Linked DNA regions of Drosophila melanogaster. The protein of the gene in region 4 interacts with the protein of the main gene of each other region in a pairwise test. Each region holds a gene or a part of one and is shown on either strand. Other genes may lie near its edges. The genes, in order: tbrd-3, tbrd-1, Taf12L and tbrd-2.

Region 1 (4,425 bases), 4.1 Mb from region 4:
TTCGATACTTACCGCGGAAAAAGGCTGGAGGGTGGTGCGGAAAAGCCGGTAAGTTGAGAATTATCAAATACATACATTCTATACCTAATATCCAATTAAAGAAAAAAAAGGATGGCACAGTAGCCCGTACCAGTGGAATCGATACTTGTCGCGGAAAAAGGCTGGAGGGAGGTGCAGAGAAGACGGTATGTTTGAAATTACCAAATATATTTACATTTTCCATACCCACTTTTATTTTTCTATTGAACAAAATTAAGGATTCCACAGTACCCCAACCGCCTGCAGAAAAGGGCCGCGGAAAGAGGCTAAAGGGTGGTGGAGGAAAGCCGGTGAGTGGAAAATTACCAAATAGATTAACTTTCATTACAATCTTTCTGTATTGAAGAAAAAAGACAAGAAGGGGAAAAAGGAGAAAAAGGCTAAAGTAGTGGAACCGGAACCAGAAAATCCGAAGAAGCCGAAGGTATCGCCCTGGAAGCCACCGCCTCGCAAACTCGTTAGCGGCCCCTTCCGTATCCACAACATCGACTTCAACGAGTACACACAGGTGTGTACGCAAGTAGTTGGTCCTTCGGAGTGCGAGCTTCCTCCGGCTCCCAAAAAGTCGGCCGTATCTTTTATCCTGGCCAAGGGAAAGATCGAAGGGAATGCACACAAGTGCGATATGCGCATGCCCAATAACAGGCATGTGAAAACTAGGTTCTTCCGGGGACCCCGTTCGAACAAGCCGTACCAGTTCAAATACCATCGGGTCTTCCAATCCGGCCAACCGAAACCCTTTGATCTCAGTCATATTATGGCCAAGTCTTTTGTGAAGGCGCTGGATCAGTCGGATGGGGACGAAGCCGATCCGTGTTACTTTAGGGAGCTTTTGTCGGAGATGGTGATTGAGGACGAGGCGCCTCCGGATTCCAAGTCTGAAGGCCTTCCCGAAACCGAGCCGGAGAAGAAATCGAAGCAGGACAGCCAGCCCCCGTTGGAAATCTTTAGTGACCTGGATCAGACTAGAATCTCCGACAGTCGAGAGACCTTGGATCGTTCGAGCAACCACAGTGGTCGCAGCCATGTGAACTACAAGGCGGAGATCGTGGATGCAGTAGTGAGATGTGCCAAGGCGGTTTGGCAGAAGCGTACCCTAATAAAGCGGGCCGAGATGGAGCGCATGGGCAGAATGACGCCGCGCAAGGCACTGACCCATAAGGATACGGAATCATTCGATCCGAACGATGCCGCCCAGATGGACAAGTTGCTAAAGGATGGCATGCGAGTACTCAGGAAGGAGCCCCGCTATGTGCTGGCCTGTCTGCCAGACGCCCACAAGCTGCCAGTGCTGCGGGAGTGGGTCAAGAGGAGGTACGGCAAAACCTACAGCCAGAAGGAGCTCGAGGAGAGTATAGCCGAGTCGAGCAGGATATTCGAGCTGGTCACCATCCTCCAGAGCAGTCCCGCCAGTCCCGATCTTATGGGCATTGATCGCCTGCCCAGATCCAAGGAGAACTTTAACTTCTATAAGCAGATTAAGAATACGGTATATATATATATATATATGTACATATATTTTACTATACTAAAACTATATTTTTCAGGCTGCCCTGGCTAAGCAAACATATCACGATCAGTTGAATGCCCGCTACCTAAGCATCGTGAGCTCCGCCTGGTACGCCATGGGCAACTATCTGGTGCCCGGAGGACCTCCTCGGAAGACCTTTTTCGCTTACATAGCTTCCAATCCGCTGGAGATCATGCGTAACAAGACGTGGAATGGGGATTTCCGGAACTACCGCTCCATGCGCGACAAGAGAAAGGAGCAGGAGAAGCTTTTGGGCAAAAAGGACTAGATTACAATAAATTAAAACTCTTTTTCAATCTGAAACTCAATTATATTTGGGCTTGGTGCGGGCCACTCTTTTGCCGGTGAACCCCTTGCTGGCCAAATAATCACGGATGCCGCGTTTGGTGTGCACCTTCAGTTTGCAGATGTCGAACTCCAGCTCCTTGTTGCAGTACTCGGCGCCCTCCATGCGTTGAATGAAATGGATGACGTGGAGCAGCACCTCGCCGTCCAGCTGCTGAATCTTGGCGTGCAGATCAAGGTCCTCCTCGGTTGTAAAGGGCTCCTGCTGCTCCGAAGTTTCCAAAGTTGCCGGCGGAGTCCAATCGGGGGTCGGAGTACATTCGGTGGTTGGAGTACATGAGGGGGGCGCACCCATTATGGAGGGGGACACCTCCGAGCCGTTCACCTCGTCCTCCGGCGATGATGAGTCCGATTCATCCGAGGAGCTCTCTTCCTCGGCACGCACTTTACTGCCGCTGGAGCAGATGTAGAGCTGCACCTGGGAGTACATCTCCTCAAAGATGATCTGCAGCTGTTTGGCCATGTGGTAGCACAGGTGATCGGGATTCGTGTACAGATAGGTGTTGTAGAAAATCAGCCTTATGTCTTTGGCGAAATCCGCGGCACTGAGATAGCAACCCGTATTCAAACGATGCCTCACGGTGGACAGATCCATGGGTTCCCGGACAATCTCATGGTAATCGTGGAGGCCCAGCAGTTGCGGATCCAGTGGCTCGTAGAAAACCCAAGCAATATTCTTATAGGTACTGGAAAACAACCTTTTAATAATCACCTTGCAGGCATTAATTTCCGGCGAGGACCGTTCAGTTTCTTGTTTTGCAGCCATTTCAGAAAAATATCTTCGATATCGACTATCGGAAAATTCTATTATAATTTCTATCGTTTTGACAACTTGAACGCAATACAACTGACAATATTCACACTCCGGGTTGCCCTGTACGATGATATTTTTAGCTTATGAAAACTTTTAGGATTGCCACCTCAATCCGAGCAGAAAAGTCAATCCACAAATGCGGTTTGGGGCAACAAACAAATTCAGTTAATTATGCAAGTGGCTCCGGCCAGGAAAGTATTTCCATACATTTTGTGTGGGAGTGCGGTCCTTTGTGGGAATGCTCTGCCTCAATCCTGAAGCTATGATGGTTAATCTAATTCCGAGACCCGTACAAACAGTCCTTTTTTCGGTAAACGTATTTAAAATCCCCATCGAGCTGTGGGGGCGAAAATATTTATGGTCAACCGCTGACGTTTGCTATTTTAGAGTGCCGAAATATTTCGTTAGCATAAAAGTTTTGTTAGGACACACAATATACATCATTTTTGGGCAAATATTTGCAGGGCTTTCATTTGGGCAGTCAACAAGTTGGGTTTACAAAAGTTAAATCGAAATCCTGTTTAAAGTCACTCTGTTAAGTTGGCTTCCACAGGCATGAGGGGAAATCCTGTTCCTGTGGCTCTCTCCCTCTGTTAGCTTGCGATCCACAACTGAGAGCAACCGATTTACGGAGACCTTCATTTTCTCGCTGTTAACTTACCTGCCACAAAATGTTGCAAATTGGGTGGCAATCGGACCAGGTCTTGGCCACATCTTGGGGCGCCTCTTCAGTCTGCTGTTGGGCCTTTGGGGGAATGGTCCTGCGAATGGGTCAATTGGGATTGCACTCCACTGACCCACTTGCGAATGGGGATTCACCTCTGGGCATCATCTGGTTCGGATGTTGACCTTCAACCCCAAGTTTGGAGACTTTACACATAGAGTTTGCGAAACCGAAAGAAAAAGAGATTAATCTTCAAAGTATATTTAAAATATATATAATCAAAAATACCAAATAACAATATAGATAAAGTTATACCCTATATCTGTCATATATCCACTTTTTCGCAAGATCATTCGCTTTGGAGGCATCTAGACCTAGAATAAATTGATATGAGTGATATTTTTATGCATATGTGTAGCTGAGAGCCCTTAGCACACGATTCCCTTTGATCTTGTCGATATGTCAGCGGGGCAGAACTTTACTTCGCATTTCACGGCAAACATTCCGCTCTCTATTGCCGATTTCCAGATAAAAATCTTGTTCGTTTTTCACATAAGTAAAACTGCGACACTCAATCAGTTGGCAGATGAAATTATACACCCAGAGACTGGGCCAGGTGCTAAAAGGATCGCCAGGGGGACGCAAAGGAAACGTGTGAGGCTGTCAGTGGCAAGCACATCCCTTTCCCCCAAACCCACTTGCCTCGCACCTGCGAACGAATCCCTACCTGGCCATCCCGCATCCCATTGGAACCGGGCAATATATGGATAAATATAAAAAAAAGGGCGGCAATATGAAAGCCCTGCAGAAATGGAAAGAAGGGAAGAACCAGCAGACGAGGACGCCGAGGAGATATGAGAAATGTACATTTGGACAGGCTACACACGCTGCCCTCGCACGGCACAGCGATGGAGAGGGGGCTATTCGAGCGAAAGAGACGGCGACAGCCAGTCAGATGTCAAACATTCTTTTGACACTTTGTCATAGCATCTCCCGGTGACACTTGTCAGCAGTCGGATTTCGCATTTCGGT
Region 2 (5,575 bases), on a different chromosome or scaffold from region 4:
TGTTATAGGGCTGCCAGATTGCAAGACGACTGGTCACCTTAGCTCTGCGTAGTTGCAATGTCAACCGAGAGGTGGCACCTTGGTGCTTGACTGTTTTATTTTGAATTTAAAAACAATAGAAAATGGTATAGTCGAGTTCCCCGACTATCAGATACCCGTTACTCAGCTAGTGGGAATGCCAAAGGGAACATTTCATCATTTTTCTGGGATATCGATAGATACTGGGGAATAAAATAGTCGTGACCGTTTTGGGCGTATTGTAGCAAAAGGAGGCGCGTGGCTAGTGTTTTTTTTTGCACGAAGAAAAATCTAAGCATTTTTCAAAAGTGTGGGCGTGGCAAAATGAGATCAATACAGACGGACATGGCCAGATCGACTCGGCTATTGATCCTGATCAAAAATGTATAGACAAATGTATATGATCGCAATCGCTTCCTTCTGCCTGTTCCATACTTTTCAACGCATCTAGTAATACAGGTATAATTAAACTATGAGAATGTCGGTAGCTCGTAATTAGAATCATATTTTAGGCTAATAACAATTCTTTATGAATAATAATTATAATAATTTGCATTTTCATTTTTTTTCATTTCCGTGGTAGAATTCTACACACTTTAATCGCTATCATAAGTTTGGTCATCCAGCGGCTCCGTACCAGGTGAAAATTCTTGTACATCCTGGGGCTCCATTTTGTACACTCGCTGTTCTTGCACAAACAGGGACTCCGTTTTAATAATAAATGGCTTTGGAACCCATCCTTTGAAATTCTTATTAGCGTTTTCTTGTTTAATGAGCAGGTTTTGTGAGTCACGAAAATCTTGTTCCCTGCTGGCCACCAGTTGACGCCCCTTTTCCTTGGCCGTGGCAATTAACTCCCTGTACTTGGGCAGCCTTTTCTCAAAGATCTCATTGGTTTTCTTCACCGAAACCTTGACCAATCCATCTTCCGGAAAGCAACGCAATGCGTTCTGGAACATCTTTCGTACAGAGCTCACGAATCCATCAAAGCTCTCAAAGTTATCGGAGTCCAAGCGCTCCTGTAGTATCTTCCAATCGAGTTTCTCTTCGCGATCGTGGTCGTAGTCCGGATTCTGGGAGTACCTTCGCCAGTAGTCAGCCTGATTAAATGCCCATGTAACCTGCTTGCGCTTTCGCTTTACCATCGACTTCAGAAGATGATCTGAGTGGCTTTTTTCAATCATTCGGTCGAGAGACTTGTAGCAGATGATAATGGGTGGATTGGGAGCCGGAGGAGGCGATGAAGCTGGAGATTCAACTGGTGCTGGGGTTGGCCAAGGCAAAGTCATGGGTTCCATTGGAGGGGACGGTAAGGGTGCTGCCAAGGAATCCAAGGGACGATAGGAAATTGGCTCTGAGGGCGGTGGATCCATTGCTTCATTTGTCTCCCAATTATTCTTGAATATCGGATTCATCATTGATGACATTGGATGCATAGATTGCATGGGATTCACCAAGGAATCGGGCATAAAAGATGGGATCAAGCTGGGACCCACGAAATTTCGGAATGAAGGATTAAATGACGACACCCCGCCAGGCATCGGTGGGGGACAGAGCCATGAGGAACTACTCGAGAGCCACTGTCTAGAATAATTGTTAGATGCTCGAGGTGCTGAGAACGAAGTCGAGGCTTGATCCAATGATTCAGTAGCCTTTCTCTTGCGCTTTTCCGACTTCGGCTTTAGTTCCACCTCCGTGCTCAAATCAATGGACTCCATTCGCATGTAAAAGGCCTCCATTAGAAGCTTCCCTGCCTGATAAACCGGTGAGCCCTCCAAATTGTACAACAAGCAGTTATCGAATATCAGCTTGAAATCCTCCAGAGCCTCGCTCGCCTGCCAGTAGTATTTGTTGTGCAGTCGCTTCCTAATTGTACTCAAGTCCATCGGATGCTTGACCACCGCATGGTAGTCGGGCACACCCAGGCTCACAGAATCGACGGGATGGCGAAAGTGATACGAGAAGCGATTGCGCCATAAGCAATTCAGCACGGACTTGAGCTCTTCTAGGATGTTTGTCCTTCGCCCAGGACGATTCGGTGGCGGAATCACCGGCGGTTGCACGATGCCATTCACCGGCTGCAGATACGGCTCATTGCGCGGCGGAGGCTGGTTGCTATTCGACTGCAGTTCATTCATTGCTGGTTTGTAAGGTCACCCAACTCCTAATATTAGCCTAAAGCAGTTTTTTTTTTTTTTGGTATTTAGGAAGAATGTGAACTATTTCAAATGCTTACTTTTTGAACAACTCAAAATTCACAGCTCCTTTCGGCTCGGAATACAGAACTTTACTGAACTTCTTTTCGTCAAACACTAATAATTACCTCTTGACACTAGAGTCTATGGTGATGTGATTTACATTTATTGTATGTAAGTCTCCGTTGGGAGTAGTAGAAAATAAAAAATGACCAGACGGATTTTGTCACTGACTTTTTTGTGCTACGTTGGGTCTGTCAAAATTTGTGACATTCACAGTGAGCTTACATTCGATAGCTAGCAATCGTCTAGTATGAGTGATAATACTCCTTTCTAAGGTGCAACTTCAGGGACCTTGGTAGTTGTTGCCACCGCAGATATGCCAAAAAAAAGTTTCCCATGGTTGCTCGGCTGGATCATCACAGCTCTAGTGGGAATCAAACGAAGTGGTTTTGTGGTGGCACCTTGATAAGTTATCAGGTGGTTTTAACGGCTACTCACTGCTTCTACTCAGATGTGTAAGTACAACCAAAGACACTAGAATAATTCTATTCTATTATTCTAGTGTCTTTGGTACAACTTACCAACTTACAAGTTACGGTTGGATGCAAACGAGGATGTGCCGGAAGGCTATAAGGCGGAGTCCCAGTTGTGTGTTGGATCTCCGGACCATAAGGACACATGCAATGGTGACTCGGGAGGTCCTCTGCTGGTTCGTCACATCGGGATCGGATGCTAGTATCAAGTCATGGGAATAACTTCAGTGGGAATCGCGTGTGGAACTCCGAACATTCCCAGTTTGTATACAAGGGTGTATTTCTTTAGAGATTGGGTCAAGCGGGCCATGAATCAAAGAGTTATCTTGTTTTTTAAATTTTTATTTGCTCCGTGTGTTTCCGCTAAGTGTGATTTCATTTTTGTTTTACAATTATAATTTTACAATAGTTTCAACTAAATAAATAATAACAATTTATAAATATAATTTTTTTCCACCCTTCCTAATTTTCTCATGATTTTTACCTTTTTGTGTTTGACATAAATAATTTGTTCTTCTAGAGTTTAAAAAACAATTTGTGCAATCACAATAAATGAAAATCAGTAGCTGTTTTTGATTTGATATCATTTGCTTGACAAGGCAAATGTAATTGTTGTGGATGTTCTTTAAACTTAGTGGCTAAGTATCAGCTTAGGTTACCTATTTATACAAATAATCGGTAGGTCTATAAATTGCAACGAAAACAAAACCTATAAAAACCAAGGATCTATATGCAATAAATAAATACTTAATACGAAACATCTTGGTAGCTTTTGGTGCTTACTATATACAAAACAACGCAAATTTGCGCCGAGGCGCTGTCTATGAAGCCAAAAACCTATCGCTAATTGTTAGAACTGCTCTTTGTAACTTGATTTTCATTAACATCATCTTGCTGTTTTATTGTCTATTTCGAAAGTGTGGCGCGCGCCGCCCAGCGACGCAACTAAGCGGGGAGTCTGTCAAAGAATACAAAACAACAAACTCCAAAGCTGAGGCCTGACACCTAACACTAAACTCTATACTCGTATCGTCACATATGTATGGATAACTCTATATATATGGCCTGGCGGTATGTATCCTCCTGCTGCCCACTACTTATGCCCGATAACGAGGGTGTAGCTGGCTGTGCTCACTGTCGACGATAACGTCGACAGCGCTGGTCATTTGGCCAGCTTCAGGATCTCGGAACGGGCCGATGTTGTCGCTGTCCCGGTTCCAGTTGAAGCTGCTGCAGCTCCAGCTGCTGCTATCGTCCCAATGTTGCCTGTGCCCGTTGTGGCCACCGGTGGAGCCGGAGCAATGCGTATGGGCTTGGCTCGCTGCTGATTGAAGAGGCCACTCAATGTGGCCGCCGTACTGGTGGTCAGCACCATGCTGGCCCCACTTGTGTTGGCCTGGCGCTTGCTCCGCGCGAGTCCATTTATTTTGTTGTTCGTTGAAGAGGGCGATTGCTGCTGCTGTTGCTGCTGCTGCTGCTGCTGATACTGCTGTTGTCCGCCAATTACAGCTGGTCCTGCTGATGCGGGAACAGCAGAGATGGTTGCGGATGACGAGGATGTGGCTGCGGGTGTCGAGGAGGCTGAAATGTTATCCAACTCAGTCATTGCTTCTTGTATGGCCCGCTCGAGCTGCGAGTTCAGTTTGCGGCTCCTTTGTGGTCGCATGGTGAGTGTGTATATGTGGTTGAGTTTTTGGTTGGTTTCAGGTTGGGTTCGGATTTGGGTTTTTCATTTTCGAGTGGGGTTGTTGTTGGTCATGACGATGATGATGATTATGCATACACACACAGAGTTATACACGTTGGGGTTGGCGGGGCATGGTTTAATTTTTGGATTTGGTTCAGCGCATTTAAAAAAAAAGAAACAAGAATATTAATTAGCAAATTAAAAGTCAAATTGTAAACAATGATTAAACTAATTAATAATGCATTTAAATGCCGATTTATCGCTTAATTGCATAGTTAATAATATAAAGTGTCCAATTTTCTAAATATATGTAGCTACGGTTGTAAGGCTTAATAAAGACTGCAAAAAATAAACTAAAAAGTTATCTAGAAGAAATGAAAATATTTTGTATACAAAAATAAACAAAACAAAAATTGTAACGTTTGCTTTCATACAATATGCAAGAATAAACTACAAAGTTAAGATAAATACGCATTACTTCAAGATAGGAAAATTTTATAAATTTAAATTCAACAAATATTTTTCAAAATCGTACAAAAACTAACTACAGAGCTGGTCTGGAGTTCACCTAAAGCCGAAGGTTTCCTGAAATGCTGCCTGTTTTAAATATGAACTTGAATAAATATTTTCCCCTCCTGATCTCTTCCAGAAATTCCCACCCTTAGTCGATGCTCACTTTCTCGTATCCTTCTGGGCCTTGTGATGTGCTTCCAGACCCTCGGAGAGACTCTGCAATGAGTTGACCGGAATTAGCTCGGAGGTCGAACGACCGCCGCCGCCGAACCACTGAACCCAGACGTGGTCGAATTGCTGCGACGGCGTGCACACTCCGTCTGGCATCTTGACAATCTTTCCGGGCCAGGCGGGATGGCCCCGAGCTGGACCCCATATCAGTTCCCCAATGGCAAAGGATCGTGGTGGCAGCGGGAAACTTTTATCAGACGCCGAGGGCGCCGCACGCGCTGCCCCTCGTTGCGGTCGGCGCGAACGTTTCGTGGGCGTCCTGACCGTCGTCTTCTCGACTGTTGGTTGAGCGGTTGGAACTGATGAAAGCAGCTGCGTTGTGGTGGGCGACTCTACGAAAGGCACACACACACACTCATAGAAACTAGGACTACGAATTTGGTTACTCGGGGGCA
Region 3 (4,220 bases), on a different chromosome or scaffold from region 4:
AGAAAAAATCGCTCTGAAATTTCCGCCTCGGTCTTATCCTTTATTTTGAGCAAAGGACCTGAAAAGGAACCCAGTGCCCGTTCATGTGTGTAAATGGGAGCATGTGAGTGTTTTTCAGCCACTGTGTGAGTGTGTGGCATTATGCGCCCTGGCATTTTTATGGCACTTTAACTTTATGTTGAGTAATTCCCGGCTGAAGGGCGAGAGTCAAGTCCTCGGGAAAGTGTGGCCGAGACCATGATGACCGCTTTGCAGGGGCTATTGAATGTGAGTCCGGCTCTTGACAGCGGCCATTGAATTTATTAATTGCTTAATCATGATGATCCGGTTTGCAATTTATCACCAGGCGTGCACCTTTTCTCATTGATACCTCAATGGGTATTCACAATTATGTTCAATAAAATTCTTTCGTCAGCTAACAAATTTGTATTAAACACGAGTTTTGTGTATTCTTTAAATTCACGATGAAACCATATTTTGGCAAAACACGTTTTTCAGTCTAAAAGGAGGCCTTTTTTTTATCATAAAACTTAAAATAATTGTCCAAATATGGAATGCCATACCTCGTTGAGCTTGTATTTTATCCCCAAATCGATTGGCATTCAAACTTGGCAATTTTAATTTTTTGCCAATTTTTGCAAAATTTGATGATGGTATAAAAAATGCAAAAACTGACCCAAAAATAAAATTTTTTTTATTGACCAAAAAGTAATAGCAATTGTTGCTATTGGTAATTAGGTGCAGAAAACAGTTATTCCTGTACTTATCTGACTATTTTTAGGCGAGTTGTGAAGAAAATACCACTCTTAAATATTGCGTTTTTGCCAAAAGAGACCTTTTTGATTTTTCGCCCAAATATATTCAGTTTTTTCATCATAAATCTTAAAACAATTGTCCAAATATGGAATGCCATACCTCGTTTAGCTTGTATTTTATCCCCAAATCAATTGGCATTCCAATTTGGAAATTTTAATTTTTTGCCAATTTTTGCAAATTTTGATGATGGTACCCCTTATAAAAAATGCAAAACTGACCCAAAAATAAAATTTTTTTTATTGACCAAAAAGTAATTGCACTGGTTAACATTGGTAATTAGGTGCAGAAAACAATTATTCTTGTTGCCTTTCTGACAGTTTTAAACCAAGTTATTCATACATTTTATTCATTCCACAATTTTCAAATTCTACATTATTTTTCCCTTTATTGGACATTTATTCAATTGGGAACTCCATGTTGAACTCCCGCTTGAGGATGAACTTCAGGTCCAGCACGCTAACGTCGCTCTTTCGATACTTGGCCAACTTAACTATGCGCATGGATATGTCGTTAACAAAGGCATCGGCTATTCTGGCCATCATATCGCAACCTTGATCGTCCAGCGATGAATTTGCATCGATTTTCTGCACAAATTGCAGCATGTTGGTCTTGGAGATAATCTGATAGGGGGAAAAGTACGGATCGATTAATGCGTCCTAATTGGGGAAGTCGTTACGTACATCGTAGCTTCCGCCAGGGACAGACTGGCTCTCAATTACGCTAGCTGGCTCCTTCTCCACGGAGCTGGTGTCTATGCTGGTGTCACTGGAGCGGCTCGAGGATCTGGTCGAAGAGTGGCTCTCGTTATCCGACGATTTATCGCTGTCATCGAAATTGAGGGCAAAGGACCAAGGTTCCATGTTACTATCCATGATTCAATTAATTTAATGTCCTTTCCCGTTAATGCCACATGCACTAGGTAAGAAAGTGGCTTGAACTGGTTGGAAATTATAGGAACATAAGGTGTGAGCTAATGCATACTTTTCGGGTCCTGTGTCTTTCTTCAAAAAGCAAAAAGTTTTTTCTTGGTGTCGTGGGACATTACACTTTCTCTCAATTTTTTACCCGGCAATAGTTTGGATCGGGAAAACCCAGCTGGGCTTTGCAGCCTCAACTCTTCGCCCTTGGCCTGCCATAAATAACCAGTTTAAGTCGCAAGCTCTGCAGCTGAAAACGATTTCCATTGTTGCCGCAGCGTTTACCCTTTCCGCTGCGGCTTTTCCTTCACGGTTTTTCCGCCGTCTTCTGCTTTTGATTTATGTTCCGACTGGGCTGTGCGCTTTTCACTTCTCATGCGCCAGCGCCGTCTAAATAAATATCAAAAAGCAACAAATTGTGGCCGTGCCGTAAACGACCTTTGCCCCGGAATAAGAAGCCAGGCCAGGCGACAAGCGCGTCGTCATGGCTTAATTTTATGCCAGGTGAGTACTGGCAAGGCCAGTCAAAACAACAGCACACACGTGCCCAGGTGTCCTGCCAGCCTATTATGCCGTTTGTTCTTTTTGCAAACCCTTAATGCACAGTGGGAATTTCGCTTCAGCGAAGCACCGCGCAAATTTAAGGCCACCTTGGGAGCTTCGGGTTTCAGAATTCAGGCTGCAACTTAAGCCAACTCGGAAAACTGATTTAAACGTGCGGCTATAATTTATATGCCTAGTGAGGGGCTTAAACGTAAATAATCTTAATTTAAACACCATTGAAAAAGGAAGCTCTTCTTAATATTCACATCTACTTCTAATGGAAAAAACATGATCTTGTATATTGTAATTAATAATAACTAATATTCAAATTTAAGATGCTTAAACCGGTGCCACAGTGCCCGTTTTTGTCATTCTAAAATGGTGTGCCATGTGCCTTTGCTGCGCTCCTGCCACTTTGGAGGTGCTCCTCAGTGTCCTCGGCTTAATAAAGTCGCCTACTTAAAGCGAGCGACAATGACATTGTGCGTATGTTGCCAGTCGTCGTCGGTGGAAAGGGATTGGTATGATGGGGTGGCCAGGTCGCCCCTTCGGCCATGTGTCACACATCCGCATCCGGTGTTTGGCATTGGCATTAGGCTTCCTCTTTCTACCTCCCACCGCCGACTGTCGTTTGTCGTTTCCGGCATGCGACTCTTTTATATTGCCGCTTCTATTTGCTGTGTGCACTTTTCTGCCCCTGTCCGCTCATTTCTGCCTTCTCTGGCTGATTTCTGTTTCATATTTTGCTCGCTGGCCTTATGCATAGTGTAAGGCAGCAAAAAACGGCCGACGTTTAGCTTTAAGTGTGCTGAGTGCCATAAATTTCACTTTGTCAGGGTCTTTAATCGCCCAAGCCCCAATCAGGCAGTCATTGTGGGGACTTGAAGAGGACTTGGCTGGTTCGGAAAGGTTAATTGTCATCTAAGTCTTATGGCGAATATATATATTTTACACATTTTCTTTATTCTAAATTTAATCAACATGCTTGTTCCCTTCCTTTAATAAAACCACGACTCAAAAAGAAGTTGTTTCAGCCTTCATGTTGCGTTCTAATGGCACATATCATATCCGTAACGAGAATGCCAGTCAGTGCCTGTATATGAAGTGCTAATTTGCTGTCGTGCTCACATAAAAAATGACAGCCTTAGTTGCCAAAATGTTTGAATTAATCACACATTTGTCAAAATTATTCAAATGTCTTTGCGGCGCGAGAGAAAGTGAATGAGTGTGTGTGTGGGCATGAATAGTTAATACGCATGTGGGGGCTACGCCCGGTTCCGCCCCCTCAGTTTTAGCCGCAGAATGGTGTCTGTGTAATAAGGCTAATGAGTTTCTGCCATGTCTGGCAGAGTGTCGAGACTGAGGGGCTAATTCTCAGCCAGTCAGCATGTTCTATGCACTCGCAGTTACTGGCTGGCTGCCATTTGGAATGGTTTTATTTCACATGATTATGACATTCTGTTGTTCAGGATTTCCCACACACAAATGAAACAGCCACGCATTCTTAGGCCCCGTTTTATTAACGGAGGATGTACTTTTTCGCCTCCGCAGTGGCTGTGCCAGATATTGCGTATACGCCACAGTGGCAGATGCGAAATTAATTTAAATCGGGCCCTCAGCGCACAGACTATTAAACAGAACTCGATCTGCAACAGATTTGCGTTAATGTTTCATAAATGCAAAAAGCAACACATTTAAATTCCTTCTCCATTTAAGTTTTTAATTACACTTAGCCGGCGAAGCGCACGGCAGCAACAGGAATGAAAATGGAAATGAAAACGAAAATGGGCAACAGACGACGGGACGACGGTGTTGACGGGCATGAGATGAAATCCTTTAATAGGCGTCGCGCCATTTTGTCGCCGGCATCGCTGCTTAATCCTTTCGCGGCATATTTTCCAGCGCGCCGTGACTTAATGAGGCGCTTTTCCATGCCGAGCACGC
Region 4 (6,024 bases):
GTGGCGATTTTGCAAGTTATCCTGCATTTTAGGGGTTGTGAGCGGGGTGGTGGTGGTTTAGTCAACGGAGGAGGTTTTTGGCCAGCGAATCATGTGCGAAAATTCTGCAATACAAATTATGGAATGAGAAAAAATGGAATTATAAACTTTCAATATAAATATTCCAATATACTTTTAAAGAGCTTTAAGACTTTAATAAGTATTTATCCTATAAAAAAACTTTCTAAAAAGCTGGCATTAAAAATTACCCTAAAATAAAGGACAAATAAAATTAAATACCTTAAAGTAGGATTAAATTTAATACATCCATATTTCAAATAAAGAAAATTCGCATAAATCAAGCCTTTCGCAAAAGGGTATTTCTAACCCTTCCATAAGGAAGTCCATCAACTTCTTATTGTCCTAAGTCAAGGAAGTTCGGTGTAGAATTTGCATAATAATCGGGACGAAAACAGGGATCGCCCGAATATGCAAATGACCAAATCAATCGAGGACCAAATTAAAATCGATCAAAATTGATTTGTTGCCCGGTGTGCAGAAACCCAAACACCGCACCCCGAAATGCCAGATCACCCAGGACCGCGATGCCTCCAAGATCAGGACATTGCCGAAGGAGTTGTGCGAGGAGCGTGAGAAAGTCTCCTTTTTGCACGAGTGATTTACATAATTTTTGGGCAAGTAAATTGCATGCACATCTCGTGTGTGGACCTTATGCAAATGAGCTGCGACGCTATTGCCATAGTGCCGTCCCTTTTCAACCCCCTGCTGCCAGCACGCAGGACGCAGGACGAAGGACTCGGGCCGGGCCGCAGGACTCAGGTGTGCGAGCGTGTCGGCATGCTGTGAACAAGGCGCCGTCCACTGTGCCCGTAATTAACCCCTGTCTCTGTGGCATTTCCCTTTTTCCATCCCATTTTCACTTTCGTTTGCATCCGAGTTCTTTTGGCAGTTTCGCAATGCGAGTTTCCTTATGCAAATGAGAGTGCATCCTCGCCCTTCCCTTTATATTCGCCAAGTGAAAATCTTATGCAAATTTCCTTGGCTGTGAAAAACTCCTTCCGCCGCGAGATACAGGATCTGCGTGATCTCCGCTCTAATTTGACTGCTGGGTGTCAGGTACTGCGAGCATCGTTATCCTTTTTTGGCTGCGATCGTGAGAAAGTTCGGAAATTTGCATAATTTTTCGTGAAAATTTTGCTGGTCTACGTGATCGTTGCAAAGACAGTAGAGATTGGAGATGCTAAATCTCTGATCGCAATTTCCCAAGCTCTTAGGAAATAATGAATTACAAACATATTAATTTTTTTTAGTTTCTTGTCCAACCATATATGTACACATGAATGTGTAATATAGGTGTTTACAGTTTTTATTTTCTTATATTTGGGATATTTGTAGTGAAACCCCCCTTTTTTTTACATATACATAAAATGCAAGAATTCATAAGACTTCTTTATGAGGATTAGGCCCTCAGCTGTCCTTCGGGTACATTGGGGACCACTTCAACGTCAGAGGAATCGTTGGACTCGGAGCTGTTGTTCGAAGATGAACTGGAACTGGAGCTTGATCTGGAGCGCGACCCTGAGCTGGAGCCAGCGTTGGAGCCAGAGCTAGAACTAGAGTTAGATCTAGAGCTGGCGCTGGAGTTTGACCTGGGTCTCAACTTGGTGTCGGACATGGACCTGGACCTGGACCTAGAAAGTCTGCCGGACTTGGATTTCATTTCCGACTCGCTGCTGCTGCTGCTGCTCATCTGGAGTTCGACAACGTGTGGCAACTTGGGGGGGGATCTGATGGGTTGCATTTGCAAAGGATTACTATTTATTGGGAGATTCCTCATTGGAGTGCCACCAATAGCCGACAGTTTTACCGGAGCGGAGACGTCATCGTCGCTGGTATCGCTCAGATTGTGAGTCTCAACAACACCTGCTCCCAATTGTGGAGCCATTACATTAGCCTGTAGCGGCTTCAATTTGGCGGTTAGCGGAGCAGTTGCTCTCTTACGCACCACGTTATTGGCAGTGTTGTTTTTATTCCTGAAATTGATCAAGGGACCACATCGGCGACGATTTTTGTTGAGCATCCGTGTAATGTTCACCAGCTGCGACTGCAGTGCCCGCTGAAGTCCTTCCTTTTCCGAAGGCTGCATGTCCTTGAGCTTCAGCTTGCTATGGGCCCTAGTTGCCTTGGTGACGGCACTTTTCATCATGATCATAGTATCCGTGGCGAGACCTTTGACATCGAAGCTCAGATCTCCACAGTTCTCTGAGGAAAATCCTTCGATTTGCTGGACCATGTGAATTATCTCCTTCATGGCGTTTGTCGGAAGCTTGGCAAATAATTTCTGTGTGGCACATCGATCCGCGTCAGTGATACGCATTGAGGCATCGATAGCTTCATCATCTGAGGATTCAATGCTAACTGCCATGAGGTTATCTATTTCATTTCCACTTAACAACTCCATAGCTGGCTTAAATTCGCCTTGGACCAAATCCGTTTCCTGCTCGGGGCTCATCTTCTGTCGTTTGCTAGATGATGGGTTTGGAGAATTTCGTTGACCTGCCTCCATTTTGTTTATCATCTTGTTTAAGGTGTCACAGAAAGTCTCCACCAAACTCTTGGCTGTCAGAGGTTCCCCGGAACCGGGCATTTGGACGCACTGCATCAAGCTATTTACCGTTAACTTGGCGGCAGCCAGTAGTTCATTTAGATCTGCGGCATTCAAAGCAGATTCCAGCGATGAGTTTCCATTCATGGAAGTACACCAAGCCGCCGGCTGATTAAAGACTCTTTCGTAGAGGATTTTAGCCGGTTCGTGGTACTTTCTAAAGCAGCCATCCACATGCAAGCAAAATTCATTGACAGACTTGAAGTACTGGCGATCAACTTTCTTTTGCAACGAATCCCACTTGTTACTGAAGAAATTGCGCGTCATGGCATCTGTCTGATTGGTGATGCTCTGCAACTTCTTCAATAATTCCCGGCACTTGCGTTCCGTCTGCGCGGAACTAGGAGCATTGGTCCTAGGCCTGCCCACCGCCTTGGGATCCCTATTGCAGGGCACCTCTGGACCAGACGGCATGCCTCGGAGTTTCTTGTGAAAGAACTTCTCCAGCATCTGGCCCTTGCGGTAAACGACATCGCCGGATCGATTGAATAGGAAGCAATTGCTAATAATTTGCTTGAAATCGGCAATCGCTTCATTGACAGATTTATAGTAGTTGTTCTGAACTCTTTTCACAATGGTACCGATATCCATGGGACGATGGATAACCGTGTAGTATGTGGGCACCATCAGAGCCTCCGTGTCCACGGGCTCCAAGAAGTCCAAGGCATACTTCTTCTTGCGAGCCTCGTCGAGCAAATGCTTCTTGAAGTAATGCAACTTATTGGTATAACGACCCGCCATTCCGGGATGCGGTATAAACTCGGGTTGGACACGATTTGGGAGTTTTAGTTTTACGGAAAGCGGCTTGCAAGATGCCTGCCAATAGAATGATTTGTAGAAATTCGCGCAGTGAATAGCTTACGAACTCACCATGCTAGAGATATATTTTTCAGTTACTGGTTACTGGTTGTTCGTTTGTTTCGATTTTTGAAAACGTGTCTCTTTCAATTTTACACAAATATAAACTCGAATTTGACTACGATTACGATTGAGTTTTGGGAACACTTTTGCCGTTCGACCGTCCGCTTTCAGGAACAAATTTTTGTGATGGAAAAACACATATCACCGCTCAGCTGTCCTATTTTGACAAGTGAAGTAATTGCACAGCCTACTGCCATTTAGAAATCACTAGCATGAAAGTTTCGAAAGTTCTAGTCAGGGATGCCAAGACATTGCATTTAAATATGCGGCAACCCCTAGGATTTTGCAAAAGTGAAAGTCACTATTAGAACATTCGTTTATTTTAAAATCCTGCCTATTCTTAAGCCCTCGATAAGCAGCAGTGCACCAATTATAGGCTGGTTGATCAGAAAGACACCGAAACTAAAGCAAACAATGGCACATCAAAGGGAATGGAGGCAAACATCCAACCACCCATACCACCCACCACCACACCCGACCGGCCCCATCCACTGAATATTTATAATAATTTGCACCACTTCAGAGGCTTTCAGCGTTTTGTACCCCACCTCCCGGTTGGAAAATGTGGCAATGGGACATAAAAACTGCTTTTTGCAATTTACATCAACATTTTTATCACCCCACCACCCATCGGCACATCCCACCACCGACAACCTTCAAGGAGTACAGCAACAACAACACGCTTTTCCTATTTGCATACATATGTAAGTGTGTCCCATAAATACAGATATACGGCCACGCCCCTCACCGCCGCCCACCACGACAGCCTCCTGCGTCTTTTTGCGCACTTAATTACACACGCATACGCTTCATTCCACTTTGCGGTGCTGCTTGTCTAGGCATACGAGCCACCCAACCAGCCAAACCACCCACCCAACCAGGCACCCACTGGAGGACAGGAAGGACTCCGCAACCATTTGCGAACCACCGCGGTGGGACAGGCCCACTACGGAAATAGACACGGGGCACACTCCGGAAAAATCGTACAAAATGGAGGTCATCACTGTAATCCCAATCGATAATGCAAATTAACAAGGAGTCGTAAAAATTATGAACTTGAATATGGGCAAAATTAATTGCAAAATTATACAAACTAATTCCCATCGTAGATATTACGATATTATTATATAATATTCCTAAATATCATATGCTTCTATGTTTCACAGTGTTCGCAGTACAGTCCTGCGATTGTCGTCCTATATCCTTGACTAAGGACTTTTCGTGCTGCAAATTTGTTGCTCTTTAGGCAATGGCACTCACAGAAAGGACCACTCACGGAATCGCTGGAGACGCAGAATGCCCGGCTATCGCAGGTTCTACCTGCCTGGGCCAAGGTGTCAATATTGCGTTATCATCCCGGGACTTTGAGTCCCAGCTCCGATCCCAGATCCCCGACCCCTGACCACTGAGCCCTTAGCCCTCTCACCCCGGCAAACGTCCACGTCCTTGGCCATTCTTTCGTTAATTTTATCTCTGACGGCGATTAATGCGAATAAATTTTATAGACGAAAATGTGCACTCGCATGTCCCGTCGCCGAGTTATCCTCTTTTGTGTGTGCGTGTTTTCCCTGGGACCTTTTCCCCCGCCACCGCTCGGCTAGCATTTTCCTTGGTTTTCCTACGTTTTCCTCTTCGCCCCCTGCCTTTGGCTAATGTTTTTTTACTGACTTTCTGTGGCCATTGTGCACCGCCTGTGTTTTGGAGTATGTGACTTTTGCTGTTTGTCTTCGGCACCTGCAGACCTGCAGTTGTTAATTGTTCGATGCCCGGTGCTTACGCGATCTTGCAGCTCTCAGGATCCCGACGAATCCGATTCCGATCCCTCGGCGATTCACCATTCTCCCTTCTCCCTTCCCTTCCCTTTCCGTCCGATTTTATATTTATTTTTTTAGCAATTGCCGCTGACTCAGCATCCGTGGAGAGCGTGGAAACTCGTAGTCTCAATGCCCCCAACCAACCCTCAATTAGGATAGGGCTCGGTATGGAAACAGCAGGTCCAGGTCCAGGTACAGGCTGTCCAGAGCGGAGATACAAGTTACAAGATGATACAAACAGGTTTCCCATTTTCTTAACCCTCGTCGTGGTCGCGACACTTGTCCCGCTCCCCGATTTCATTCGGCATTGTTTGCGATGTGTTAACCTTAAGCGATTTCTGACTTTTGTGGACCCTATTGTTGCGACCCTGACTTTTTTCTCTTGATTTCGATTTTGATATAAAAAAAAGACAATGAAAATACATTTCGGTGGGAACGCCGCGAATCCTGACCAAAGGACAATGGCGATCGGCGATGGTAATCGCGGCGCAAAAGATGCAGGTTTTTTTTGGGATTCCTTTGGTTTTCCCCTGCTTTCTTTTACGTCTGGGTGTTTGGGTGAAAAAAGGGCGCACCCACACACGCACTATTTATGGATTTCCGTTGGGAATGGGAATGGGAACG

Evidence for each region.
Region 1: the proteins of tbrd-2 (region 4) and tbrd-3 interact in a two-hybrid assay, tested with the Drosophila melanogaster proteins (one study listed by BioGRID).
Region 2: the proteins of tbrd-2 (region 4) and tbrd-1 interact in a two-hybrid assay, tested with the Drosophila melanogaster proteins (4 studies listed by BioGRID).
Region 3: the proteins of tbrd-2 (region 4) and Taf12L interact in a two-hybrid assay, tested with the Drosophila melanogaster proteins (one study listed by BioGRID).

The regions. Positions count from the first base shown.
Region 1 is NT_033778.4:23,324,876-23,329,300, forward strand, and holds tbrd-3 (testis-specifically expressed bromodomain containing protein-3), read right to left. Parts: upstream 2,707-4,425; 5' UTR 2,682-2,706; coding exon 1,875-2,681; 3' UTR 1,864-1,874; downstream 1-1,863. Other genes in the region: CG9861 (uncharacterized protein), read left to right, coding at 1-48, 102-185, 258-329, 386-1,528, 1,587-1,838.
Region 2 is NT_033777.3:23,891,097-23,896,671, forward strand, and holds tbrd-1 (testis-specifically expressed bromodomain containing protein-1), read right to left. Parts: upstream 2,465-5,575; 5' UTR 2,255-2,464; intron 2,194-2,254; 5' UTR 2,157-2,193; coding exon 615-2,156; 3' UTR 501-614; downstream 1-500. Other genes in the region: sba (six-banded), read right to left, coding at 3,912-4,401, 5,113-5,512.
Region 3 is NT_033779.5:4,699,781-4,704,000, forward strand, and holds Taf12L (TBP-associated factor 30kD subunit alpha-2), read right to left. Parts: upstream 1,706-4,220; 5' UTR 1,689-1,705; coding exon 1,497-1,688; intron 1,437-1,496; coding exon 1,212-1,436; 3' UTR 1,055-1,211; downstream 1-1,054.
Region 4 is NT_033778.4:19,257,579-19,263,602, reverse strand, and holds tbrd-2 (testis-specifically expressed bromodomain containing protein-2), read right to left. Parts: upstream 3,695-6,024; 5' UTR 3,539-3,694; coding exon 3,536-3,538; intron 3,482-3,535; coding exon 1,460-3,481; 3' UTR 1,309-1,459; downstream 1-1,308.